Linked DNA regions of Schizosaccharomyces pombe. The gene in region 3 interacts genetically with the main gene of each other region. Each region holds a gene or a part of one and is shown on either strand. Other genes may lie near its edges.

Evidence for each region.
Region 1: mutations in nrm1 (region 3) and sro7 together harm fitness more than expected from each alone (negative genetic interaction), as found in Schizosaccharomyces pombe (one large-scale study listed by BioGRID).
Region 2: mutations in nrm1 (region 3) and ura3 together harm fitness more than expected from each alone (negative genetic interaction), as found in Schizosaccharomyces pombe (one large-scale study listed by BioGRID).
Region 4: mutations in nrm1 (region 3) and exo5 together harm fitness more than expected from each alone (negative genetic interaction), as found in Schizosaccharomyces pombe (one large-scale study listed by BioGRID).

What each region holds. Positions count from the first base shown.
Region 1 is NC_003424.3:615,976-623,228, reverse strand, and holds sro7 (Lgl family protein), read right to left. Parts: upstream 5,406-7,253; 5' UTR 5,386-5,405; coding exon 5,284-5,385; exon of another isoform or gene 5,237-5,283; coding exon 4,807-5,236; exon of another isoform or gene 4,759-4,806; coding exon 2,853-4,758; exon of another isoform or gene 2,810-2,852; coding exon 2,233-2,809; 3' UTR 2,041-2,232; coding exon of another isoform or gene 1,377-2,040; 3' UTR 1,241-1,376; coding exon of another isoform or gene 1,038-1,240; 3' UTR 526-1,037; downstream 1-525. Other genes in the region: SSU-rRNA maturation protein Tsr3, read left to right, coding at 1,038-1,240, 1,377-2,040; MEK kinase (MEKK) Mkh1, read left to right, coding at 6,381-7,253.
Region 2 is NC_003424.3:1,384,806-1,388,908, reverse strand, and holds ura3 (mitochondrial dihydroorotate dehydrogenase Ura3), read left to right. Parts: upstream 1-1,763; 5' UTR 1,764-2,067; coding exon 2,068-3,399; 3' UTR 3,400-3,552; downstream 3,553-4,103. Other genes in the region: ATP-dependent DNA replication ligase Cdc17, read right to left, coding at 1-272, 335-842, 883-965; disulfide relay system thiol oxidase subunit Mia40, read left to right, coding at 3,823-4,103. UniProt on the Schizosaccharomyces pombe protein: In the de novo pyrimidine biosynthesis pathway, catalyzes the stereospecific oxidation of (S)-dihydroorotate to orotate with reduction of flavin and the transfer of electrons to ubiquinone, which is part of the respiratory chain.
Region 3 is NC_003423.3:4,284,081-4,289,083, forward strand, and holds nrm1 (protein nrm1), read left to right. Parts: upstream 1-1,863; 5' UTR 1,864-1,961; coding exon 1,962-2,990; 3' UTR 2,991-3,280; coding exon of another isoform or gene 3,281-4,148; 3' UTR 4,149-4,206; coding exon of another isoform or gene 4,207-4,296; 3' UTR 4,297-4,338; coding exon of another isoform or gene 4,339-4,353; 3' UTR 4,354-4,394; downstream 4,395-5,003. Other genes in the region: oga1 (protein stm1), read left to right, coding at 144-517, 580-1,042; tad1 (tRNA specific adenosine deaminase), read right to left, coding at 3,281-4,148, 4,207-4,296, 4,339-4,353, 4,395-4,588; nucleoporin Rae1, read left to right, coding at 4,865-4,936, 4,987-5,003. UniProt on the Schizosaccharomyces pombe protein: Negative regulatory component of the MBF complex involved in cell-cycle-dependent transcription.
Region 4 is NC_003423.3:2,770,945-2,774,978, forward strand, and holds exo5 (single-strand DNA-specific 5'-3' exodeoxyribonuclease Exo5), read left to right. Parts: upstream 1-1,908; 5' UTR 1,909-1,939; coding exon 1,940-2,102; exon of another isoform or gene 2,103-2,157; coding exon 2,158-2,222; exon of another isoform or gene 2,223-2,372; coding exon 2,373-3,149; intron 3,150-3,278; coding exon 3,279-3,503; downstream 3,504-4,034. Other genes in the region: INCENP-like protein Pic1, read left to right, coding at 1-1,426; SPOM_SPBC685.03 (uncharacterized protein), read left to right, coding at 3,753-4,034.

The DNA.
Region 1 (7,253 bases), on a different chromosome or scaffold from region 3:
AGGCAGATTCGCAGATTTGAAGAGCCAATAAAATTAAAACAAAAAGAAAAAATCCAAAAACAAAATTGTGCAAAAGTCTGAGGTATACTCTTCAGTCAAGGAAGTTGGGAGGCTTGGTTTACCAACAAGAGACCAAACGAGTTCTAAGTCAAATAAGGTATGCGATAGTAGAGTAAAGATTAAAACCACCATAAGAACCCGGTTATATCTGGTTCAGCTGAAAAGCTTTATGTAAAGAACAAGTTCCCAAAACTTGCTAAAATTCTTCAAATATATGCTACATGCCATATTTTTGATCCGCAGTTTATTGCTGTAGCTAGTGTCGAATTGAAAATTAAAATCCAATTGAATTTAATTATTTTTACATGAATGAAACAATTTACTATCGAGCACAGAAACTGATAAGTGTAAGAAGAATGAAACTAACACTGTTGTTACGTTCCATAATTAAACACTGACAAGAAAACGTAGCTCTGCTATTACTTTCACTATTCATTTTGTATCAAAATTTTTAAAATGGATCGAGGAGAACAATTGTACAATTGTATATCGTTGAAAAAGCATGAGGAAAATACATTGTGTGTAAACGAGTTTTGTGTAACAGTTCTATTTGAACAACTATGAAAGTATTAACAGCCATACAAGGTCATTTTACGAGAATTGACCATTCTTATATTACCGCGAGGCTTTTTCCTGGATTTGCCAAGAAATGCAAAAAACTAATGTCATTGCATTGTCTCGCTCAAGAGTGAGAACATTAACCACTTTTGGGCAATATCCACTTTTCAATAGCATATCTTTAATGAATGTAAGGAAATATTTTTCTGAAAAGAAGGAGGGACGGTCAATTGATTAAGTAGTCGAATTGTATATAGATAAAGATTTCCTCTCATCTTAATACTCGATTGCTACTGAAGATGATTACTTTTAACACGGCATTGGTACAGTGCATTATTGATTGATAACAACACCCACACCAAATATGGCGGATTTCCTACATCAAACAGCGTGTCACTTTTCAACATCGATATTTGGATATGGGCCCAAGGAGTTCTAATCGTCGTTCTAATGCCAAAGATGGCTTCAAGGGTTCAAACAAGGCATCCAAATTTCCATTACCCTTAGCAATGTGGGATTTTGGACATTGTAATCCAAATGCCTGTTCTGGTAAACGATTAGAGCGTCTAGGATGCGTACGAAACCTTAGAATTGGACAGAAGTTTCGAGGAGTTGTAATAACGTAAGTTGAGAACCGTTAGAAAGAAACCCGATCTTAAACTCTTGTCGAATGTTTGCTGTATACAGCGCAAGGGCACTAAGACTAATTATTAATATTTTTTTACCATTTTGCTATGTATCAGATTTTAACGCTGCAGACCAAACGGAAAAGTTCCTGTTTCTCCAGCCGATAAGGAGTACTTTGATAATGGAGGTGCTAGTGTAGTTGAATGCTCTTGGGCTCGCATAGAGGAAATCCCTTTTTCTAGAATTGGTGGTCGCTGTGAGCGGTTGCTTCCATATTTAGTGGCCTCCAATCCAGTTAACTATGGTAGGCCTTGGCGATTAAATTGTGCTGAAGCTCTGGCAGCTTGCATGTATATTGTCGGATATCCTAATGAGGCGAGACTTTTAATGGATAATTTCAAATGGGGACATTCTTTTTTTGAGGTAAACGAAGAACTTCTCGATATTTATGCTCAATGTCATGATGCTCAAGATATTCAAGAAAAAGAAAAAAAATACTTGGAGGAAATGGAAGCTTCTTACCAAGAACAAAGAAATCAAACTACTGACGACATTTGGTCAGCTGGAAATTTAAATCACAAACCAACATTAAACACCAGTTCAACACATTCAAACTCTGAAGAATCTCGGTCACCATTACACGAACCGTCCGAAGCTTCATTGGCTCATGACGAACACTCTATTCCAACAGATGATAATGAAGAGACTCTAACTAATCTGCAAGCCAACGATGTGGATGAAGATGAAGTCTGGCGAAAAATCGTGAGAATGAAAGTTCATTCTACTGATACCTAAAAGATATATACTTTTGGATTTTTATATAATTTATAGTTTGTCTATTATTTATCACCTGTTTTTTGTGCTTTACATATCCATGTAAGGTAATATTGTATAGAGAGATGCAAAATTAATAAATATGGTAAGCTTTCAATAAGTTTCATAAACAATCATAACCTGATAAATGCAAGTAAAAAAAAATATAACTTTCTAAGGTATATAGCTTTTTAAGCCTGAAAGAATCAAATCTTTCTTCGTTCCAGCCAAAGAGTCCTTAATTTCGTTTGCCCATTCAGCGCTCATCTCTTCTAAATCGTCCATAGTATTTTCAATTCCTCCTAACATATTCCCCCGTTGGGCTAAATGGTCGTTTATTTGAGCGAAGAATCCTTTCTGTTGTTGTTGCCTTCTTGGAGGGATATAACTTTGAGCAGACTGAGAAGTCATGGAAGGAACCGGGGTCAGTGGTTGCTTAACTGATTCTGCTGGGCGAGCTGAAATAACTTTAGGAGTCTCTAAAGTATGCACTTTACTTTCAGCCCTGTTTTCACCTCCGAGTAAGATATCTAGCTCTTCAGCAGATGTAGACTGTTCGCCCAGTAACCAATTCCACAAGGATTTACTAGGTCTTGGCGGTACATGGGAAGCATTGTGAGTAATAAGCATCATGGGTGCCAAATTCGCCAATGTTCTCCCACTTCCTAAAACACAGCCAAAGGCTAATTCATGTGCTCCTAACGTTGGGAAAATATAATCCCCATTGCCTAGAATATCACCTTCTTTGAGCCTAATGGAATAGTTAGCAAATTCATTTCAAGTAAACACCTTACCTATTTTTATCAATATCCAATGGAAGTTGCATTTTACGTTCCTCACGAAGGTTTGGGAGAGAATACCAATTCACCGAAAGATCAGAATTTACGCAAACTACGGAACCCATGTGTTTGGAAACAGTAGAAAGCACAAGAGCTGCTCGACAACAAACAGGTTTTCTCCAATCCAGGTTACCCACTTGATTATTAATTTTATTAAAAACAGAAATTCCTGAATCGCCAATATACACGAGGAAAACTTCCTGTGGTAAGGGATATCCAACGCTTTGTAATGAGGATCCAGTGGCTGTCGCGATCTGGCCATCTTGAGTTAAAGAGCATATTTTATAAATGTTCTTAATATCTAATTGTCGAGATGATTCAAAATAAGCAGAAAAGCGCCCTGAAGAGGAAGGGTCTATACGGAATAAAAGTGTCATCCCTCTATATGTTCCTGTGACTACGTAGATTGAGGAAGGGCTTCCTTTAGGGTTCATAACGACAAACTCGGCACTCGTAAGAAAATCGGGATCAGGTTTTCCTCTTCTCTCTAATCCAAGCTCCGAGATGCTGGTGTTACACAGTATATGGGGGCCACGCATGTCGATGATTGTAATTCCACCATCCTGATATCCTATACAAACAAAACCAATATTGCTCATTTGGTTCAATGTTACTCTTCCTCGTTTAAGATCAATATAATATTGAGCATGTAATGTTCCCTCTAGAACTAAGGTATCGTCCAAACGATATATTCCGTTAGCGAGCTGAGCTGGTAAATTTTCTTTATGATTTTTCCTTTTGCAAACAATGACACGCCCAAAACTATCAGCACAACTGAATTCTGGATTATAAGTGGAAAAAGAGGCAGTAGTTATAAAAGCTGAAGGCGTGAGATGCTTTCGCATTACAGAAGAGAAATCCAAATTTACGCAGAGAGATGGATTCATAAAACCCTGAGATATATCCCAAATCGATAAACTAAGACCAGTCGATGTTATAAGTAGATTACGCTCATCTAATTTCTTAAGATAGCCGGGACTAGGAGATCCGCCAAAAAGACAGGAGTAATGTGAATTAACGGAAATAGTATCTTCAATTTGATTCCAAACTTTTTTTGTTACAGTTTGAAATGCTATAACTCGAAAATCTGAAGCAAGGAAGCATAAAGAGGGGGGAATAGAAAGGCTCATGTTTGAAATATTTCCAGTAGAAATGTCGAGCAGCGATAACGAGTTGTCTTCCGAAAGAAGGAGAAGATTCTTGGGATTATGAGATCCATTGTAATGTGGTGAGCTAGAAGGAATCACCAGCATATCACGTACAGGGGGGATGTCAATAAAAGGAAAAAAGCGTTGTGAGTTTGGATTTGCGAAAAATTCCGCAAATGTTTCAACATCCTTTTTGGCAGGGAGATTTCGATAACTGAACAATGAAATTCCCTTTACCGGTGCTTCTTTCGGCAAACCACCTAACATCAAAATAAATGAAACTGTTGGGTCTTCACAACAACACCACCTCATAGACCTAATGGGCTCAAGCTCCGTCTTAGGAGGATTTCTCTGCATGGGGGTATACGTGTGTATGTTTGAATCGACAAAATTTCGGACTTGTACAGGATATTCTTGATCCACATCCCAGAATGCAAAAGTCGAATCAGTATAGTAACTAACAAAGTGATCACCCCAAGGACTCCACTCTATCCCTTTGACTATAGGTCTTCGATAATTATGGGGTGATAAAACTGCAGCTGTACTACCTGGTGCATACTCCAATTCATAAAAGCGTATAACTTCGTCAGTCCTTATTGAGTACAAAACAACGCCATCCGGATATGCAATCAAAATCACACCGAGATCCTTCGGGTGAATCTGAACGCTTACAACTGGGGATAGCTTTCCAGGAACTGGTGCATAAGAGTAGCCTGAAAATTAGTAATAAATTCAAATAAACAACAATGACCTCAACGTACCCATCATTCGCCATTCCTCGTGTCTTGGGACATACAAATTTGGAACTTTGAATTTTCCAAGGCAATGTCTAGTAACATCCCATGGCACAACGGAGCCATCACTCATTCCAAAAAAAACCCAATCAATAGTAGGATCCGTTACGGTACATGTAACTTTTTGCTTGAGAAAGTAAGTGGCAGCTGGTTTTGAAAGGTCACGATGTTTCATCAAGGGATAGCTTAAGACCGTATTTCGAGAGTCAATTACAATCAAATACGCCGCACAAAGGGCTATATGGACAATGGTTGAACAGTCTGGAACTATCACACTCTGGACATGCTGTTTACCGTAAATGTATATCCGATTAGTACTAGATACAATAGCTAGTAAGCCTTGTTGATGGTCTAAACACCATAATACTGGATTTAAGGAAAACCCAAATCGATTCAACTAATCTTTGTTATTAAACATTCAACAAGCATTGCTTCCCTACTTACGTCGTCTATCGATAGTGAAGCATTTGAAGACGTATGGGTCTTCAAATTGGATTTGGATAAAATTTCTTTTCCCTTACTTAGCTTTTTTTTAAAAAAGCTCATATTTTCCCAATTCTTGGTATAAATATACTAATCATGTTATACCCTCGTAGCATATACAAACTCACGCTCAACTCGTGTTAGAGAACGCTATTTTTGGATAACGTCTTGTGCCGTTAAACCAATAATAATGTAAGCTACGCAGTTTGGTATCTGATTTAAGGATACGTAAACTGCGGTGAGTTTTCCTTGTAACCTATTATATTACAATAAACAGGTTGTATGAGTAGCAACTGAGTATTGTATTAACTGTGTTATAATGTTACCTATCACTAATATAGCTCATAACTGAACTGAGGAACGAGGTTCAGTTGTAACGCTATTTATAATATTTCTAAATAGTTGTTATCAACTGGTAACTAGTATATAGATGGATAGTTACCCGTGATTATCAATAAACGGATCTTAGCTAGTATTCCAACATATGACATATAGTGATACACAACGTAGTGTATCATAGCGTAATGTAGTATTGCTGACAAATAATGAGACTTCTAATTTTATCCTTATAGCACTGAATTCGACTTTGCATCATTCACTAGTCAAACCGCAAGCGATTTTGAGCGGGCCTAAAGCCAGACACCAAGCTGGAGATTGCTTGGTTTACCCGTGAAGGTTTATAGAATCGAAATATCAGTTTTACATTGATAAAGTATCTATTTTTAATTCTCTATTATTTTCTAACAGGCTTCTGTGGAATTGGCGGTATCATACGGGCTGCATGTCAAAACACATGGGAAGTCTTTTTGCAATATCTTTAAACCCTGAGTACTAGTGATTCAACATTTCTCTCCTTTCTTAATATTTTATTTACCTGCAAGAAATTGGGCTATTACTAACATCCCAAGTCTGTCTTTTGCAAATTAGTTCACTCGTTTCAGCCGAATCTTAATTTTTTTAATCATAAACTACTTAAGCAGCAATCTCCAATTCGTTTGACAAAAAAAAGGTTTTTTATCTTGAATTCTTTTCAAAGTAACTAATACTGTTCTGGGTATATGGCTGCCGATATCGGATCGCAGTCATCAGGCTCTTTGGAAGAACGGTTTGAACAGTCTCTTCATCTTCAGAATGTCGATAAGCAAGATTGGTCACTTAACAGTGTACTTCAGTTTTTAAAACTATACAAATTTAACAAAGAATGGGAAGACGTTTTTATTAAAAGTCGAATCGAAATGGATTTATTTATCAATTTGGCCGATCAATCAAAAGCCGAGGAATTCGCCTTTAAAAATAAATTGAGCAAGGAGTCTGCCATCCAATTGAGTAGCTGTATTCGCAAAACACTTTTAGCACCTTCTTCGACTCGCGTACCTAGCAAAAACTCGTCTTACGAAACATTAACTTACAGCGCCAAAGATAGTTCGGATGACGTTTTTACAGAAACTAACTCTGGTTTCCGCTCTTCAAATCAAAATTCGTCCCTCAAAAGCTTTCAGAGTGTTCCTGATAGCAATGTGAACGTGTTTGGTGGCTTCGGTGGATCAGTAGTCGACAACAATGAGCTATTGAGCACAGGAAAAAACTCCCATCAAACAACCTCTTTAAATTTGGAAGGCTCTCCTATAAACTTACACGCTTACAAAGGAACTGTCACTTCAATAATTAACGATGACAGCAGAAACATTAATAAAAAAACATTGTCGAAACAACCTGTATCCGAACATAAAGAAAAACAAACTAGCTTTCTCCGTCGTTTCCGGGTACCTGGGTTTTCTCGTGACAAGGATAAAACTAAAGATTGCCCTTCTTCAAATTCGAACCCATTCCATTTAGCTTCTTCAAATGTGAAAACATTAGACGCGTCTTTGGATCAAGGTGAGTGGGTACCTCGTATTCATCGTTTAGAAAGTCAAATTGGTTTAATATCC
Region 2 (4,103 bases), on a different chromosome or scaffold from region 3:
TTGATCACTCCAATTTTTCTATTTTGGGATTGGTTTCCGCTCATTTGAGCAATTTTTTTTAATGAGTCAAATAAAAATGGAATTGTCAGCGCTGCAGGTTTAAACATAGTGGGTTGATTTTGACGGGATGTTTGAGCTACAAGACCAAGATCACCAACTTTGTGAAACGATAGTTTAATCTGTTGAAGCGTTTGCCCTGTAGACTCTCCAATAGCCTTCATTATAATGCTTTCGCCAATTCCTAGCTCTAGTCCCGAGTAATCTGGGCCCAACTAATGTAAAAAAAGACGTTAGTACTGAGAAGGAGAAATCCTTTAAAACCAAACGTTCATACCTTATTGATACTTAAATACACACAGGCCAGTAAATCGCTGGGATGGTCGCGAAGAATTCCAAAAAAGTAAGTCCCCATTATATCAATGATTTCCAACCGTTTGCTAGTATTCTCTATTTTTGTGAATGCTTTTACCATTTCAGCAAATGTTGCATGACCTTTTAACTTATCATTGCGAGCATTGGACTCTAACGGTGGTTCTTTGATTGGCAAAGGTATTGGAGTAGATGCCCCAGAATCGTTGTTACTAGATACGGCATCTGAAGAAGAGGAGGATGAACCTAAAGTCTTTTGCTTTTTTGCCTCAGACACAATATTATTTTCACGCTCAACATTTTGAGTTCCAGTGTCGTCGTGGTTGTTGTGTTTCGACTCGTCGACTAATTTCACTGATTCGACCTTTCTCTTTTCGCTTGTGCTTCTCCCATCAACATTTTTGGAATCAGAAGACGATTGAGAAACCTCCACGTGCTCGCTTTTGTGCGAAGCAGAAGAAATGAAGAAGTTGCTATATGGGTTAGTCAACGTCTGTCTTCTATCTAACAAACCTAATGTCTGACTGCCTTGTCGACATCCGTATGTACTGATTGACTTGTTTAAAACGAGGAATTTGCGAAAATACTGTTCGCATAACAATCAAGTCAACGAGTAAAGAATTTCATAAGATTTGACAATAGTGAGGGTACACCTGAAGAACAAGTAACACGTGTACGATATTTGTAGTTTAAGGACAGTGAAAACGAAACCATTTTTTTCTAAGTCTATATAGATGAAATTAATTTTTATGATTATAACAGGATAATATAAAAGCTATTTATCATTGATATAGTATGAGTGTTCCTTGTCTCATTCATAAATACTATTGACTTAATCAACTCTCTCCCAACGCTCTGTACATCATAAATACAGCTAGAAAAAATGAGAAGTTGAATTGTATAGAAATGCTTTAGTCATACCAGAAATGAACAATTGCCTGTATCAACGAACGTAATAGAAACAATTTGGAAATACATTGCTAGAAGTTTATCAACTAGATTCTAACCATTTAAAAAAAAAAGAAATTTAAATCAACAAAAATTAAAATAAATTCCTAATAGGCTTATTCGCTAATGTGTAGTGGTTTGTAGTTTTTTTGCAAAAAGCTGTTCGCACTTGTTTTTCAAGTGGATTTTGTCCTTAAATTTTTAAAATTTTTCTTTTTCAAATTTTTTATGAAATGTTAATTCGAAAGCAAAAACTATCATAAAATTGTTTATAACCATCGCTTTATTTACAAAACTCATAGTCAAATTTCGACAGCCCGGCATTACTAAAAAAACATGTTACCTGTTACAGGTAACATTCAATATAAACATTCAATTTTTGATTTTTGTTCTTTCTCAGAGAATATACCTCTGCTAGCACTTGGAGAAATTTTTTCGGTTCTGAAATCTTTGTTTTCGTTGAAATCTTATTAGAACCAAGTTCTCCATTTTATATAAATTAACACTTCTTGTCTCTAGGTGGATAAAGAAACGGATTGACGATTCTGTTCTGATCCTTAAATCCATATTTTTATTTTTTGGTTCTGTTTATTTTTTCTTGGGTTTGTTGTGTTTGGAAAAAAACTGGTGTTTAAATATATTAAGCATAAACTATTATAAAACTTCATTTTATTATTTTATCATTCATATTTTTTTCAATTTCGTTTTGAAAATTTTTTATTTAAGCCGAATTCTATTAAAAATACTAAAATGTATCAACGATCTTTGTTTCGCGGTGTCGCTCAGGGTTTAAAGCGCTCCTCTGTACGTTTTCAATCTACCAGCTCTGGCTCTTCAAATGGCAATTTCTTTCTCCGTCATTGGAAGCTTTTGAGTGTTATTGGTAGTTTTACTGCCGGCGTTGCCATTTACGACATGTCCGATGTTCGTAGTTTTATCCATGGCCGCATTGAAATGCCTCTCTTTCATGCTTTCACCACTCCTGAGTTTTCTCATCGTGTCGCCATTCTCGCTGCCTCTTGGGGTATAACACCGAAGGATCGTGTAGCTGATGATCCATCTCTTGCCGTTGAAGTTTGGGGTAAGAAATTTTGCAATCCCATTGGTCTAGCTGCTGGTTTCGATAAACAAGCCGATGCTATCTCAGGTTTGTTGAACTTCGGGTTTTCCTATCTTGAAATTGGCTCGGTCACACCTAAACCTCAACCTGGTAATCCTAAACCACGCTATTTCCGCCTTAAGCCTGATTTGTCTGTAATCAATCGTTACGGTTTTAATTCTATCGGCCATGATGCCATCCTTGCTAAGATTCAAAAGCGCGTTCGCAAATACATTGCTAAGACATCTCCTCAACTATTAAAACAGTTTGATGCAAATCCCGCTTCTTGCACTGATCCCGCTGTCCTTGGCGTACCTCGTAGTTTAATTCCTAACAAGTTCCTTGGTATCAATTTAGGCAAGAATAAGAACGGTAACGAGATTGAGGATTATGTTGAAGGTGTTCGTACCTTTGGTAACTTCGCTGACATTCTTGTCATTAACGTTTCCTCTCCTAATACCCCTGGTCTTCGTAACCTACAAAAGAAATCTGCCCTCTCAACTTTATTGACTGCTGTTGTCAGTGAGCGCAATAAATTGAACTCTCCTCATCCTCCCGTACTTGTAAAAATTGCACCTGATTTGAACGAAGAAGAACTCACGGACATTGCCGATGTCCTCAAAAAGTGCAAGATTGACGGTGTGATCGTTGGTAATACTACCGTTCAACGCCCTAAGACCCTCAAATCAACTAGCCATGTTGAAGAGACGGGTGGTCTTTCTGGACCTCCTCTCAAACCTATCGCATTAAATACTCTTCGCACACTTCGTAAGCATCTTTCTTCCGATATTCCCATCATCGGCTGTGGTGGTATTTCTTCTGGCAAAGATGCTATTGAGTATGCTCGTGCTGGTGCAACTATGGTTCAAGTTTATACTGCTTTGGGATATGATGGTCCTGTAATTGCTCACAAGATTAAGCAAGAGATTCTTGCCGAGCTTAAGGGCAAACGTTGGGTTGACATAATTGGCAAGGAAGAATAGATTGGGATGTCAGTATATTTCTTTTAAAGAAAAAATTCAGTGTCGTTTACTGGTACATTATTATAGTAAAAATTTAACATATTATAGAAAATAATACTCACGTTCTTCTAATTAAATATTATAAATGAATTACCTTTTGTTTTGCATACCTAAGTTTGCTTGTGAAACTATTATGTCGCTAGTTTAATTCTATTATGAAATTAGTCATTCAGGCATTTCTTAGTAATCTCGTAAATCCTGCCAGTCTTGCTTGTCTTACATTTGTGAATACCTATTTACTTAAATCTGATTTAAAAAACATGCAAACTTATATAAACTTAGAATGAATGACAAAGTTACGTTCTTGTAAGATCGTCGCCGCTTTCTGACCATTACGCAGACATTAGAAGTTCAGAGCTCAACTTCCCATAAATCAAAAAAACCATGTTTGCTAAAAACTTACTTTTCAGATTTCCAAAATGTATAAGGATTAACGGTTACAATAATATGAGAAGGTCTCTACTGCAGAGAAATGGATTTCAAGCAGGCATTTGTCGAAAATTTGGTACTGCAACCAAAACTGATGTATGGAAAGGCCGTTTTTTGCCTATTGTATCTGGCGTTGCAGCTGCTTCTTTGACTGCTGGATATTTACTTGGAAAAAACACTTCAAATGCATCATCGAGTCAAGATAATGACCATCCTGTTGTAGGCGAACATGTCCA
Region 3 (5,003 bases):
ACTTTATAGAAGTATAGCCTGTATAAAGACGCTCAAGTATTAAAAAATATAAATTCACATTTCGTTCATTATTCTTTAGAGTGTTAGCTCTGCAGACTCTGCTGATTTTTATTTTGTTTTCGCAAGTAGTAACCAAATTATAGAACCTCTTTGACCTCCTCGGAGAGGAGACTCCCGCAGCTACTACTACCGAGAAGAAAACCGCTGCTTCTCGTGACAAAAAGCGCTCCGACAGCCCTCCTGTCCCCCGCGAATTAGTCGCTCAAAGCACCACCTCTAGGAAGCGTGACCCTAACCAACCCACTCCTCGTGAGCGTACCGTTAATAAGAAGGCAGACCAACCTCGCAGACGCCGTCAAGCTCCTCAAGGAAACGAAGCCTTTGCTCGTGAAGGCAAAGAAGCTCGTGCTAACAACGCTGCCCATCCTGTGGATGCCACTGGCGCCCCCTCCAACCGCCGCAATGCTCGTGCTCGCCGTGGTCGTGAATTTGACCGCCATAGCCAAACTGGTAGAGTGTATGTGTTTTATTTTTCTACATGTGAATGCCAAATTATATAATTGCTAACCATTATTTTAGTGATACCAAGAAGGCTACTGAACGTGGCTGGGGTGATCTCGTAAACTCTGCTGCTAACCCTGATGTTGCAGAGAACGAAGGTAACACTCCCTCTGGAGCCCAAACTCCTGCTGCCGAGGAGGAAAATGTTAAGACTCTTGATGAATATCTGTCTGAACGCAAGTCCGCCGCAAAGCCTGTTGGTCGTACTGTTGAGAAACTTGAAAACGCTACTAAGGTCGAGAAGAGTGCCCCCGAAGAATTGTTTGCCTCTCTTAAGAAGAGCGCTTCTCAAAAGAAGTCTGCTGCCAAGGAAAGCAAGCCAAAGAAGGTTCTTCTTGATATCGAGCAAACTTTTACTGCTCGTCCTGCTCGCGGTGGCCGTCCTAACCGTGCTCCCCGTCGTGGTCCTTCAGAAACTGCCTCAAAAACCCAACAGGCACCTCCCACCCTTTCTGAGACTGACTTTCCCGCTCTTGCATAGATGAACTGGTGACTTGAGAGTAGCCTATTGATGTGGAGCGTTTGATTGGTCTTGGATGAAATTTCGTTGTCAAGCGTATGTGGAAAGGTGTGTGTTATCTTACAGATCCCTTTTTGTTTATTTTCCATTGAGCATCATTCGGGTTTCTAGGTTATTCAGTGATTCTTATCATTAAAGCGGTCTAAGGTGTATTCTGTGGTTGCATTCCCTTTTTTGATCCACATTTTGCGATGAATTGACTAAATATTTTTCAAAATGGTCGAATACTAGTGTGTAAAAAAAATTTCATTCTCGTATCTATTCACAACTAATATTAAGAAGATGCGCGTTTAAATCGTCTACCGACTGTTATCTTGATATAACGTATCTTATTTTTAATCTGTAAATATCAGCCTTAGTAATTGTGTACATAACAAAAGCATATTTCAGTGTACGGTAGGTCTGCCTGTGCAATTCACAAATACTCCATTTATTATTCCAATTGATTTTGTCATTTTCAAATGTCGTTTGCAGGGATATTGAAACGGACGTTGAATAAAGCCTTCTTAACCTTGTAAAATGACTATAGGAAAGTTATGAACGAGTTTGTGTATCGGTAACATAACAGGTAAATCACTCTTCATAATGCAAATTGCGGTTTACTTTTTATAGCATCATTTTTGATAGCTATTTAAAAAATTTGAAAGTTAATATAATTAATAAACTCGAGGATATGAGCAAACTGATAAAACGCGCTATATCGCGAATTCGCGCTTTAAAGGGCGTCGCGTCGCGTTGCGTTGGACACCGCTTATATACGTGCCACAAGTACGCAACAATCGACGAGTCGCAAAAAAACTGTCTCTGATTATTACTTTTCCTTCTGATTCTCTGCTACTAGGAATCTTTATATTGGTTTCCGTTTAGAAAAAATAACAAGATGGATAGGTCAATGGAACCATTGACCCCATCTCGTTTAAACACTTTGGGGGAAAGGCCAACAAACGAAGTGTATGAGTATGGAAAAGGAAAAAATGTGCAACATTTATTTCCTATAACACCGATGCAGAGACCATTAGGAAAAGAGAATGCGGCTCCAGGGACGATTTCACCGATTGCGGTTCGATCTCGAAATGTGCGTGCAGTAGAAATTGCAGATGAAAATGCATGTGAAGAGCCAGTCTTAAAAATAAAATCTGTTAGTAGTACGGAGAGTGAAGAGGAAAAAGAATCTTCTACTGAGATAGGAGAGAAACAGGAAAAAGAAACACATTTAGAACCCAAGACACCAGTACAAACCAATACCAACAATAATCACTTAGACGACATTCAGTGTTGTGCTAAAAACTTACGCTTACGTCTTGAATTGGCTATGTATAAAGTACAAGTTAATCAAACATTTTCCCCTCTGCAAGATCTTCCCATTGTCGCTAAAACGAAGCTTCACAATTGTCCAAACTCTGAACCTGTTACCTCCATATGGAACCAGAGATCGCTTTCTTCTGGAAAGCCTCCGTCCTTACATCTTTCAGGGAATCGCAGGCTTTCCATGGGATCTCCCACGAAGTCGATATATGATCAGAATGGTTTGACAACGCCAAGACCGATCGGTTCTGATGATCTAACACATATGTATGATCCTTATACCTCTCCTTTACGCACCCCTTCTCGTACGCTATCACGCTCCTCCTCTCATTATCTGTGGGTTCGTCATGGTAAATTGACACGTAGCGTATCTCTTTTACAACATAAAACGCCTAGACGCATTCGGCCAAAATCACTTTCTAAAAGCAATTCTACACCGTTAAAGCATTTAAGCGCTCAGAAACCAAATTCAAATTACTATACTGGCCCGCCTACTCCAGTATCCATATCCAACACTCCAGAAAACATTCATCCATCATCTTCCGAAGTAAGGCGTATTGCAAGTCACAGCAAGCAATTTTCAGACTATGGTTTAATTCGATGATCCTTCTTTTTACATTTTAAACCGAGTTATGGAATAATGTTATGAGATGATTTTTATAATACTTTAATTACTCTAGTTGTCGTTCATTTCCTTTCTGACAGATTTCTATATGTGAATTATTTTGAAATGCAAAAAATAACTTTTAATTCCTCGCAACACGTTCTTTTATTTCTTACTTGTTATGTAACAAGTCAGTCGTTAATAAAATTATTATCGCTGGTAAAGCCATCCTTCGTTTTATTTAATGCCTTAATTCATACGTACATCTTATATTGAGGTTTCTAGATTTCTTATATCCATTGAAATTCGTTCCCTCCGTTTGGGATCCAGTTTTTTAAGATATTACGAAGAATTTGCTTTTGCTGGCAACGTTTGATGTTGAGTTTCTTCCATTCATAATAGTTTTTTTCATTAGTCAACGATTGACTTAATTGATGCAGCAAATTCATCATACTCTTTCTACATATTAATGTTTGAGACTTTTCAACGTCTTTAGCTTTTGTTCCCGCTTTAATACCATTATGTATCACTTGAGTACACTGCATTTTATCACCGATCCATATCAAAACGTTTGTACTAGTTGCAGTTTTTTCTGCTTGGTTCAACGGCCGTGAATATAAAAAATTTTCATCCGTTTCCAGCACGGTAAAAGGATGAAAGTAATAAGGATTATCCTTTTCTCCAAATTCAGCAAGTGGTGCGCACCGACCAAAGGGTCCAAATGCTCTGTCAATTGCTGATTTAACTATCACTTTTTTATAAAGCACTACACATGATAAATAGATGGGCTCACAAATGAGGCTGGTCTGGGAATTCAAAATAGAAAGATATTGTTTTGCAGCTAATTTATCAGTACAGCTTTTGCTCCAGCTTACTGGGGCATCAGGTCTCCCCGGTTTAGTACGCACGATTCCAAGTAGTCCAAAATCCGCCCTCCCACGCATTAATTTCTCTGAATCAACTGTTAAGTTCCATGGTTTGTTGTTTTCCAAGCGGCTAGCTAGTAGCTCCATACTCGCATCTCCGCAAGGACATTCGGAAACGTACAGATGTATCAGAAGATTGCTGTTTAGAGTAAATTTACCATTATCAGCAACTTCAAGAAGCCACGTATCTTTCTTTGATTCTTTAATTAAAATACAATGTTCGAGAAGTAATCTTAATTCTTTTATTAGTAACGAATACTAACAAATATACAAATAATTGTATATATTACCTGTTAAAACATCTTAATGCCAGAATCTCAGCATGACAATCATGTAATACACTACCCAGTTGTTCATTCTTAATGATGCCAGCTGGCGTACTAAATTGACTTGTTAATGAAAAAAATCAATTGGTAGCATACCATTTTACACCTGTTCTTTAGATGTCAGTTTACCGATATTAATAAAAAAGACGTACGCTAGACAAACACAAATAAATTCGTTCTCCATCTTTTTCTGAATGACAACACCGGCTAAAGTAGTCCATTCACGCACCCCATTTGCTCTTATGATCGGTTTGCCATGACGGGCTAGTTCATCAAATTTGTTAAGGACTGCAAGAGCTATTAAATTCCCAACATTACTGTTTCTATCTAGGGTAAATTCTTCCATTTTCTAATGAATTTCATAAATCCATACTTTATATTCAATTGTATTAAGAAAAGAGTACTTCGGGAGCGTAAATCCTGTGATATGTTGTGACCGTAATTAAATACTAATATTTTGTTTCCAACTGTTAATTAATAACAATTGGGTATTCCTAATAGCAAAGCTTATTCGCTGTAAGTGATTGAAGTACAAATGTTGGCAAAAGCATTTGTGGTAGTGTGTTGAAGCAAGTAATTTTGTCTGCATACGAGTAATTTACCAACTACCACAACTATTAGAATGTCACTTTTTGGACAGGCTACAACATCTACAGTATCTAATGCAACCGGTGACTTAAAAAAGGATGTGGAGGTTTGTTAATTTTACATATACGCTACTTACATTTGCTAATTACACGATAGGTTGCCCAACCCCCGGA
Region 4 (4,034 bases), 1.5 Mb from region 3:
TGCAAACGAAAATACGGACTCTTCTTTGCCGCCTTCCAAGAAGGAATTTATTGAAAAATCTCTGCACAAGTTATCTGAACCATTGCATGATGATTCTCGTCAAAATTCTGATCACAACTTTGCTCCGCATTCACGTCCGATTGCAATTCGTGTGGCCACAGCCTCTCAACGCGAACTTGAGCAAACTGAAAAGCGAAAAGCAAAAAATGGAGCAGCAAATGCTTCAAATATGGAAAGCCGCTCTTCTGAAAACGAAACTCATCGCTTCAAAAAGTTCTATGGTAAAGAACGAGAGTTATCAAACAACGAATTTCCAAGTCGTCAGACCAAAACTGTCACATCAGCCAATTCATCTAACATTAGGGATATGGAACATACTATTTCCGATAAACCTCGTTCTGAACCAGATGCTATACCATCAAGTAAAAGCATGCACTCAAATAAGCCATTTGAGGAAAAATCAGAAAAACCAACGACCAAAAGACTTGTTACTAACCCATCAAATGTGAATGCTTCATGGCATTCAAATATGTTAAAAAGACAAGAAGATTTACGAAAGAAGAAACCGTTAACCGACAACGGTGCAACTTCAAGGCATATGCTAAAATCTGGGTTAACACGCGTCACGTCGAAACCCACTCAAAGGTTTGCGAATGAGCTAGCTGAGGACATGTCATTGGCATTTCATTCAACTATTCCAAAAAAAATGGAGCCTGACTCAGTTACTTCTGTAACTCAGCCTTCTGTTGGTAGTTTGAGAAACAACTTCGATATAGGGACCACTAATAGTCAGAATGAAGATCGAAAAAAGAAGATAGCTGCACAAAAAAATAAGAATCCCGTACATGGTAATGTCGGTCTTACGAATCAACATGGATTCAAAACAATGCATCACAACGTCAACCCTTTTACTAAGCAGAATGGTATTATGAAAGGAAAGCTTCCATCTTCTAGTACTTCACAATCAAATAAACCTTTTATTGAAAAAGCTTCTATGCACGCTCCAGCTAAAGGTAGGAACTCGTCTATGCAGGAGCCCTCTTCTAAATCACCGTTACTGAAAACGCCTAAGTCGAATTATTTTCCTGGATATGGATCCCTATCGCCTAACACGTCTGTGGAATTACCAGAAATAAATAGCGATTATTCGGATGATTCAGATGATGAAGGTAATAAGAAAAAGGTAAATTTACCATCGTGGGCTGAATCACCTGAGTTACGAGAGCAATTAAAACGACAACAAAAGTGGGATCCAGACAAAATTTTCGGTATGATTAAACCTCTGCAAATGGATGAGTATTTCCGATCGAAGGATCGATCGAAGATTCGATTTCGACCAAGAAGCTCTTCTGCTGACTGGTCATCTCAAGATCGTTTGACCCAAGCAGAAATTGATAACTATAAGAAAAACATGGGTTTTTTATAGAGTTCTGGATTTTTGAAATGAATTTTGTATATTAAAGAACTGGGAAATTAATAGAGAAATACTTTAATTTATCTTATGAAACAATTTGCATAGAGTTAGATGACAAAATTAAATTAGATTAAAGGTTTTTGAATCTACTAATAACAATTATAATGAAATAGACCTCCATCTTAGACATTGAAGCATCGCTGATAATTAGTTTTTGTGCCGCAATAACATTAGCCATTAACAAACGTAGTTTGACATTGCCAGAAACTTAATCTACTTGTTCAAAGTTTTAATTTCTTTGAACGAAAAGAAACTGTGAAAGTACTTCTATCATCAATAGTTTAGCACAGTTTACATTGCTAGTTTTGGTTACACTAGACATTTACGTTCCACCATTTTAATAAAACTAGTGTAAAGCTTTTTTACCGTCTGGTTGGTTACTTTAAAAAAAAGAATTATTCTATTAAATGTGTGAACTAACGTAACCCGCACCTGAATAAATCATCCTAACGAAACATTAAGTCTATGGAAGAATATGAAGATTTTGAGATGGAAGATTTGAGCGAATTAGTCTCTTATATGGACTATCTTGAAACACAAAGATTGACTATTAGCCAATTGGATTATTCTTTGAGCATTCCACCACAATTGCTCGTAAGCAGGGAAATTTCTAAACTAGAGGACGAAGGTACGATATATTTCACTCAAGTCATGAACCAGACAAGCTAATAATCAACGTTCAGTTTGTGAAATGTTAAAAGAAAGTTCATTATTCCAACTGTTTCGAAAACACAAAGGTTATTTAAATGTAAGGTCTTTCTGAAGTTTGTGAATGATTTTTTATGGTTTTGTCAACAGATTTATAATAGCGGATTGAGACAATGCTATTCTTAGCATAATCATTTACAAGCATTAATCAATTGCATGTTTTTCATTTACTGACAGAACCTATTATTAGGTTACTGACCTTGTTTTACCTTTGTGGTGTGAAGTGCAACATGAATACTATTTATTGAGAAGAATTAAAAAAAAGACCCCGAAGATGGAACGCGGAATTAAGCTGCATCAAATACTTGAGTATGAAACCTCCCCTCCATCAGAACGTCGAGTGCTTGATCGGACATCCAAGGAGGAACCATGGGCATTACGATTATTAAGGCAATTAGAAGGTATTATGTTATTACAAAAAAATGGAATTACAAGAGAGTTTCCAATCTGGGGATATTACAAAGAGTCCTCAATTTTTGGCATTATTGATGAAATAAGTCTAAACAACCCTTCAAAAAGCAATTTTAATAGTGACATCCGCAATTACTTCAATTTCAAAATGTACGATTTAAGTTTTGTTGACAATAAAACTCGGTTTTCTTCCAGAAAGCCTGGAGCTTCACAAATTCTTAGTTCCAAAGTACAACTAATGTATTACGTTCATCTCTTTTTAAATTATTTCCCCTCTCTAGGAGAAAAACAACAAAGCATTTTTAGGGATATTTCTCCTACATATTCTAACAGACTTCATTCTCAAAGTCACTGGTGGAACATGTTTTTGAGCCAACTATCGCTGGACGGCACCAAGGACTTGGGGCCGAAATTTTTAGAGCAATCAATTCTTTCAATTCCCGATATTCCTGAAGATGTCTTTGCAGGTCATAACTCGCTAAATGGACTTTATGCACTCGTATTTGCTTCAGCTAAGAAGTTGCATTTACGTCTTACTGATGACAATCTTACCATTGTAAGTGACACAACCAATTAACTCGAAAATTATTTCGTTATCATTACAACTTTTAATTTTTTTTACGATGATTAGAATCCTTTTCGTAATATGATTGTCTGAACTATCGTTACTAACATCTTTTACTAGGCATACAGGAATGACAAAACAGGAGAAGTGGTATACAAAGACAAATTCTCTTTTAGCAATAAATTATTAGAAGCTTCCTATACTAAGGCTTATCAATTTTGGCACAATTTAAGGGAGCCTGAAGGCGTTCCTGCAGAGGAAGTCTACAAATGCCGAAGTTGTGAATTTCAGAAAGAATGTTGGTGGCTCAAAAAGAAACAGTATTACCCTCTTTCAAGTCCGTAATTGGGAATAATGACAGTTGAAAAGATTCCCAGAACATAGTTGGTCATTGGCATCCTATATGTTTAGCAACGATTTTCTTCCATCATATTTTGATAGGGCTGCTAGGTTGTTGAAGTCATCAACTTTTAATTTTTTTATCAATCTTTAAGAGGCAATTGAAATCATTTCTATGTAATCGATATAATTTGTGTTAAATCTCTATTTAAAAGAGCATGGTTTTTTTATTGCATTTTCTAGATCTCGGTGACGATGCAATTCTTTGGTAGCTTGTTTGTTTCTCTCCTAGGTGCCGCGGGTCTAGCTAATGCTCTACCATCACCAGGCATTCCTAGTAATGACAAAGATTTGGCCATTTATCCTCCTGTCGATGCCAATAATACTACTTCTCAAGATGTCGTTATAGACGTAGTTCTATTTAACGGTACTGAATGGATTTCCTCTCGCGAGAGATTTTCACTTGTTTCACCAGGATGGGCAAGCATTTACGGTCCATCGGGTCAGAGTTCTGTTGGGTCAGTACTTTATAGCCCT